2 linked regions of the Caenorhabditis elegans genome follow. The protein of the gene in region 2 interacts with the protein of the main gene of each other region in a pairwise test. Each region holds a gene or a part of one and is shown on either strand. Other genes may lie near its edges.

Region 1 (3,683 bases), on a different chromosome or scaffold from region 2:
AATTGAATTTTAGAAAGAAAAATCTTTTTGAATGTCACTTACTGTTTCTCGGTGTCATTTGAGCTCCACAAGTAAAACAAAATAGGTTCACGAACATCTTCGGCTTTGGTAAAAGTTTCAACCATATGCTGGAAATAGTTGTCATCGGATTTTCCCTTCTCGTATCGTTCACTGATATTAAACTTCAATGCCTTCAGATTCCCATTCTGTGAGTGGTTTTTGGCGAACTTCGACAATTCCCTGGAGAAGTTGTATTCGTGAGTATTTTTGTTGATAATCGTCGAAATGAGTTTGTCCAACGTTTTTCCCGTCAATTTCTCCATAGGAATCGTCATAATTTTGGTTTCCTTGTAGGGTTTCAGCATCTCTTCAACGGCAACCACTGAGATTCCAACCATTCGATCAAAAAACTCTACAAGCTGCTGTTGCATCCTCTCATTGTTACTTATCAATTTATAAGCCGTTTGATCTTTGCCAGATAGCATTAATGGAAGAACAAGATGTTCGAAATGATGATCCCGTAGAAGATTGTACTGAATAGCCATATCTGCAGCAACGGAGAAGTCTTGTTTCTTGATGGCAGCATCTAGCAACTGTGTAATGTCCTCAGTGAATTTCTCTTTGGTGATATCGAAGATTTCACTGAGAAGCTGCTTTTGTCCAATTGTGCACACATCTAAGGCGTTTATTTGAATAGTTCCAGTCAGATATTTCTGTCTGAGCTCCGTCTCCTGTCCCGACTCTTTTAACCAAACTCCAAAATCCTCCAGATACCAAACCGCCAAACTTTGTCCCGATGTTTTTCCTCTATCCGGCATCGCTTTCATCATATCCACAGCCATTCCGTAGATGTTGACTCCTTTAAATGTATAGATTATGAATGAGGGTTTTTTAAAGTTTTTAATAATAAAAGAACTTTAAAATGTTTACCTGATCTATAGTCCTCGTTGAAAAATTCTCGATTTTTGGCTCGAACTTTTCTCTCCCGCTCAGACTCGGGTCCATTCATAATTGCTTTCAGAACTTCCCGGCGTGACTTCAACGGTTCGGCGTAGTCTGTTCGATATTTTGCCTTTTTCTCGGCTTTCGTTAGCTTTCTTTTGTACGGTTCTTCTTCCATTTTCGAAACGGACAAGCTTGATTCTGTAAAAAGTATAAATAAATATTTGTCGAAAAGTTAGTACAAAAGAAATTAATCAAAGAACAAGGAAAACGTGTTTCCCCACGAGAATTCGTATTACGGAGAGGAAAATCTAGAAACGGCCCAAAAACCGAAAGAACAACAGAAAAGCGTTGTGGATTATTCGATATCCAGCACTTTTTGCACAAATTGAGGCAAAAATAATGGAAAAAGAACCAAGAAATCAATGAACAAAATGGAAAATGAATTTTTAAAAAATTGTCGATGGTATTTAAGATGTGCAGGTTAGCGAATAGTACTGTATCACGGCGGCGATTCAAATGATCTACGAAGCAATTACACGAGGAAAATTAATGGAGATTATGGAGCAAATTGAGGGAATTAATTATAGTATAAAAGTTTCGAAAAGGAAAATTATTATTTATTATCCTATTTAGTTCGCCACACAATGGGAGATTTTAGATGCGTAAATAGTTGAGAGTAGAAAGTAAACTGACTGACTCAAAAAATATGTTTAAAATGTTTATTCGAGATTGAGAAAATAAATTAAATTTCACGAAACCTTTTAAATACATAAGTAAAAAAATGTTTTGTTTTTAAATTTGCCACTATCAAAACTGTCTAACTCTCTAACTCTTATCTTCTCTGCGTAACGATAGAGCGCGTTTACATCATTATTTTTTCATTAAATTTTTTCTATAAATATTTCTTCTTTCTACGACAAACGTTCTCCATTATTGTTTTTGCAGACTTTTTCCATCTAACATGGTTCAAGAAAGCATTATTTCATCTTTCCGTGGAAAACTTGAAAACGATCCAAGCAAATCAACGAGTCTAGCCACAGTGGAAACACTGCTCGAGGTTTTAGACCGGAGTCGCGGTAAGTTCCTGAATTTGAATATTTAGGCAATTAATTTTTTGCTTAATTACAGCCACCACCGTTGCCGAATTTCAAAATGAGCTAAATCAAGTAGTTGCTGCTCTCGAGAAAACGGACTACAGCTCAACATCAATTCGAAGTGCCGCTGATTTGTTCACCAGATTCACTTCTCTGGCTCCAGCTGCTCTTCTCGATCAAGAAGATTTTTCTCAAGTTCTTGATCTGTATCGCCAACGAGCACGCTCATTTATAAAGAATGTCAGAGGTTCTCGAGCCAAAATTTCCAAGTGCGCTCGTCTATTTTTCACTCATCATATGGTACGTTTTTTTTTCTATTTAAATAATTCCTATTTAATGTATTTTAATCTTTGTATTTTCTAGAATATTCTGACACACTCATACAGCAAAGTGGTTCTGGAAACTATTCTTGATGCTCACAAAAGTGGATATCACCTTCATGTCTGGGTCACCGAATCGCAACCGGATGCTTCAGGAAAACTAGTGTTTGAAGAATTGAAAAAGAATGGAGTTCCAACTACTTTAGTTCTAGATAGCTGTGTGGGGTGAGTGGAAATTATAAAAAACAATAAGAAAAACGTATATACATTTTTTATTTTTTAAGATATGTCATGGAAAGAATTCAAGCAGTTCTAGTTGGCGCTGAAGGAGTCATGGAAACCGGTGGAATCATCAATAAAATTGGAACTGTTAATGTTTGTATCATCGCAAAATCACGGCATGTTCCCGTCTATGTTTGCGCTGAAACTATCAAGTTTGTACGGGAGTTCCCACTCAACCAGGCCGATATTCCCCAAGAATTCAAAGTAATCAATTTATATCAAATAACTCAATCAGATCTTTCATTATTTCAGTATCGAACATCAGTAATTGAGAGAAACAACCTAGAATTGGAGCATCCCGATGTGGATTACACCGCACCCGAATTTCTGACACTGATCATTACTGATGTCGGCGCAATGAAGCCTGAAGCTGTTGGAGAAGAACTCATTAAAATGTATATCTGAGGGTAGAAATTTATTTGAACGTGTATTTAATTCAATCAAATTAAATTAATTTGTTCTTGTTTTGTTTTTTATAATTATGATTGGTTTTTTTCTTTTACAAAAATAAAAAATAACGTGGAACCCAAAACTATTCATTTCGAGTTTTTAAAAACGCTCATTCATCAAAAAGATGAGTGAAAAGCACTTTATTTTGCCATCTAGCATGCTAATGATAGTTTCGGCTGTCTTCGGAGGTATCGGAATCATCACTACAATCGTGTTCGTGATTCTGACAGTTCTTCATTCAAAAAGTGCGGTTTGTAAACCTGCAGGTTAGTTTTTGTTGCGAAATTGTGCAATTTTTACCCAGAAAGTACGGTTCCCGGTCTCGACGCTACAATTGTTAAATTCTGAAAGGTGTGTGCCTTTAAAGTGTACTGTACTTCGAATTTTTAGACTTTTATTAGTTTTTCGATATTTAAATATTTATTTATTTATCTGAAACTATGAAAAATCGATGCAAATTCCATAACAACGAAAATCTGAAATTACAGTACTCTTTAAAGGCGCACACCTCTTTGGATCTATCAAAAACTTTGCCGTATCGAGACCGGGTATCGTATTAGCATGACGAAAATCGCAAAATTATCTGGATAAT
Region 2 (4,033 bases):
AAAAGAAAAATGATGGAAAGGGATGCACTTGGGACACATTGCCGAAAAAAAAACGAATCGTTGCTATAATGTTCTTCCGCTAGTCTTCATAGATCCCGTTGCCAGGTGACCTCGTCTCCAAAAACTTTCTTAAATTTCGAAATCGGAGAATGTGTACTCCACGAGAAGAAGAGTGTGCGAAAATTGCAAATTTTGCAACCTCCGCACGGTTATGAGAATGAGAGCTCAATGAACCTTGCGGAGGTTGCAAAATCTGCAAGTTCCGCACGGTTATGTGGGTGTGGCCAATACCATCGTTTTCTATTCTCAATTTCTGTTATTACGTGGTAGTCTAAAGATGAAAGTTTTCGGGTCTCACCACGCTGAAATTGGGTTACTGTAACTGGACCAATATTGTGCCATTTTTAATATTATATTCAAATTCTTGACAGCAATTTTCGATTAAATCTGAAAATTATGATACTATGCTACCCGTAAATGGAGACGAGTTACAGTAACTCGGCGTGGCGAGACCTAAGATTTTACGAAATTTTCCCAATTTTGACGTCTACGTAATAATTCCCTCTATCCCAAAATTTGTTTTGTAACAGTACGGAAATTGTAATTTCCGTACGGTTTTATGGGAATCACAGTTTGAAAGTTTCAGTTCAAAAATCAAAATCTCATCTTCTAAGAGGCGGGGCGAAAACACCAAATTTGACGCGCAAGTTTGACTACATCATCAGGTCGCCACTTCTGCTCCAGTCAGAACCAACCACATTTTCTGAAAATAAATTACATCCGGTTCGGTCCGAAAACTAATATTAAATACAATTTTCATTCAATTCATCATCTTTTGGTTTTTTTTCTTTCTCATTTTGACCAACCCGCAAATATTATACGACACAGGGGGCTATATAGTCGTGCGCGACGAAACATTTTTCTTTCCCAAAAAAGGAATGAATTCTCATTTTATTTGATGAAGAGGCGGGAAGAAGCTCTCCGAACGTTGTGCTCTGTGTGGTCAACAAAAAAAGGTCGACGACACAGAAAAGGAATTTAATTAAATGGGGGACCCCGTCGTCGTGCATTTCTCAATTTTCTCCGTTTTTTTTTGCAATTAAAACGAGGAGGAGTGAGAAGAAACGAGTGGTGCTCGTTGAAATTTGAAAACGAAAATTAGACGAGGGAGTAGGTCAAAGGGAAATAAAAACAAAAACATCTGAAATGTGTAATTAAATTTCTAGAATTTTTTAGAATTCAATATTTTATGGATAGGTATGTACTATAGGGGTCGGCGGTATTATACAGTAACCCATACACGAATTTCACTTTTTTCAGTGTCTAGTGTTGAAGAAAAAAAATCAAAGTTCAAACAGAAAATCGACTTCATCAAAATTACAAAACATCCGATCAGAGAAAAAAAATTTTCTCTTTATTTCCCGCAGAAAACCTCCCAGCAAACTTTCACCACAAAAACCCTATTTTAAACTCCCTCCATTTTCAAGTCCGCAATTGCGCGTAGCTTTGCGTGTTTTGTCGTTGCGGACTTTGATTTTTCAAACAAAAATGTTTTTTCTTGGAACTTTTCGAACCTGTTTTCCACTTTAAAAAAGCGGTATTTTTCAATTCTTTCTTTATTTTAAATTTGAAAAACTTGTTTATTGCTTAAATTTTTAATTAAAAAGCATTTTATTTCGAAATTCAGGCCATGTTCTCGCATCTTAACCAAAATACATCCGGAAGGCATAACTCAATGGATCTCAACAATTCTAGTATTTCAAAGTGAGTAATTTGTTTCTTATTTTGCAAAAAAAAAACCAGTTTTTAATACTAAAAATCTAATTTTAGCTTCGGGACACCAGTTGAACAGTCTACGCCGGCACTTCTTTTCGGAAAGCGAAAGGCAACTGTTCCATCTTCGTGTAAGTAAAGTTTATCTTAAGTTTTCTCAAAAATATGATAATTATTTAGACACCGCTAGCCCGCTCAACACTGCATCGGCACCATGTTCGGATATTTTCGCTGTTTCTGCACCGGCAGTGCCGCAGCATTTGAAGGATACACCGGGCTCTAAATCAGTTCATTGGTCTCCATCTTTGGTGCAATCTGGTGAAAAGTCGGCGGCACAAACACAGAATACACCTGCCAACTTGTCTTTCGGAGGAAATTCATCATTTTCGGCGCCGACAAAGCCAGCTCCTCAGTCGATTCAGACATCATCTTTCGGTGGTCAAGCGATGCATGGTTAGAATTTACATTTTTTCGCGAATATTTAAAATAAAATTGATTTTCAGCACCACCTCTTCGATCTCTTCGCGACAAAGTTGAACCAGCGAAAAAGATCTCCAGACGAAATACATTCACTGCCAGATCAACACCACTTTCCACTCCAATCACTCAACGAGTCACATCCAGGTTGGCTGAAGCAGAAGAACAACCAATGGAAGAAGAAGCCGACGCAGCTGATACCTGGGTCACTGTTTTTGGATTTCAGCCAAGCCAAGTGTCGATTTTGTTGAATTTATTCTCGCGGCACGGGGAAGTAGTTAGTCATCAGACTCCATCAAAAGGAAACTTCATACATATGCGCTATTCGTGTGTCACACACGCTCAACAAGCTATTTCTCGAAACGGAACTCTCCTCGATCAGGATACATTTATTGGAGTCGTTCAGTGCACAAATAAGGTAAGTAAAAAGGATATATTTATTTTTTATTTTAATTTTAAAATTTACAGGACGTGATCAACGGCTCAGCATCCGGAATTGTTGCTCGATCATCTAACATTGCTGCAGCTGCAAACCGATCTGCTTCCATGTATAACTCATTTGTGGAGAACGATATGGCCGATCAATCAGTTAATCACAATGAGAACAGTGTGCTCAACTCGTCGAATGTTTTTGATGCAAATAACTCGCTCAAGTATGATTAGAAATTTTTAGTAAAAAATTCATAAAAATCTAAATTTTATACTTGAATCTGCTAAAGCGAAGTTTGTAGTTTGTAGTCTAGCGCTACTCCACTTTGAAAATGTGAAAAAGAAAAAGTTAATTTTTCACAATTCAATTAATATTTCCACAAAAAATTGTTTATGTTTTCAGTTCTTCTCGTATTTCCGTCCGTTCTGGTGTCGGAATGAGACCATTGGCTGCCGATCAAAGAACAAACGTAAGCATTTCATTGATTCAATCCTTCTAACCAATTAAAAAAGATTTTACAGGGAACCCCATCGGTTCGCAAGGCACCTGACGGATTGCTCAACAAGTTCTGGAACACGATCGGACTCAACTAATCTTTTTGCTCATTGGAAATATCGCCCATTTTTCTGTTTTATTTCACCATTTTTTTCTTTTGTTGTGTATCCTTCTTTTTCGAATTTCTGAAAACAGTTTCGTTTCTCACGGTTTTTCGTTCTCAAAATAATTTTATTTATTTCGGTGTATTCTCAATTTTCGGACATTTTTCCTTCCCTTCTTCCCGTCCATTCCATTCCCATTCAAAACTGATTCTATGAATTGAAATGAAGAAAACTCATATTTTTATATTGTCGATTATAGAAGACGAGTTGCTAATACTCGAAAAAAATATTTTTTCAAAAAATGAGGCTTTATTGACTGAAAAACATCGATTAAACAAATTCACTTCTATGAGTTTAAAGAAGGGCGCATTATTGCAGAATGGTCTCGGCACGAATGACATTGAAAATTGTGTGTGGGTGTGTGCCTTTAAAAATACTGTAGAGATTCTTTTATCGATTTTTCTCATTTTCTTCAATTTTTAATTTCAGAAAATTATTTACAATCGATGAAGTTTTTTTTAAATTTAATTTTTTTTATAAAATTTAATTTTAAAAAACCCGTTAAAAAAAAATTATTCAAATAATTCTTTCAGTTCCCAATGAATCTTCCCCCAGACGCCCTCCACGAAAATGTGTACGCATTTGCTCTTGCACGAGATCAAGTCGAATCATATTGTAATCAATGCCTTACGAGTATGGCAGAACTCAAAAAGTGCAGCGCCTGCCGACGGCTTGCTTATTGCTCACAAGAATG

Evidence for each region. Proteins that work in one complex are often made in the same cells at the same time.
Region 1: the proteins of npp-19 (region 2) and eif-2Balpha interact in a two-hybrid assay, tested with the Caenorhabditis elegans proteins (one large-scale study listed by BioGRID).

The regions. Positions count from the first base shown.
Region 1 is NC_003281.10:9,541,236-9,544,918, forward strand, and holds eif-2Balpha (Translation initiation factor eIF2B subunit alpha), read left to right. Parts: upstream 1-1,883; 5' UTR 1,884-1,906; coding exon 1,907-2,021; intron 2,022-2,073; coding exon 2,074-2,339; intron 2,340-2,402; coding exon 2,403-2,584; intron 2,585-2,643; coding exon 2,644-2,845; intron 2,846-2,893; coding exon 2,894-3,046; 3' UTR 3,047-3,169; downstream 3,170-3,683. Other genes in the region: Exonuclease mut-7, read right to left, coding at 43-859, 931-1,120; ZK1098.9 (uncharacterized protein), read left to right, coding at 3,216-3,357.
Region 2 is NC_003280.10:10,796,134-10,800,166, reverse strand, and holds npp-19 (Nucleoporin NUP35), read left to right. Parts: upstream 1-1,687; 5' UTR 1,688-1,690; coding exon 1,691-1,764; intron 1,765-1,830; coding exon 1,831-1,904; intron 1,905-1,953; coding exon 1,954-2,226; intron 2,227-2,276; coding exon 2,277-2,668; intron 2,669-2,718; coding exon 2,719-2,903; intron 2,904-3,082; coding exon 3,083-3,149; intron 3,150-3,192; coding exon 3,193-3,273; 3' UTR 3,274-3,514; downstream 3,515-4,033. Other genes in the region: set-14 (SET domain-containing protein 14), read left to right, coding at 3,879-4,033.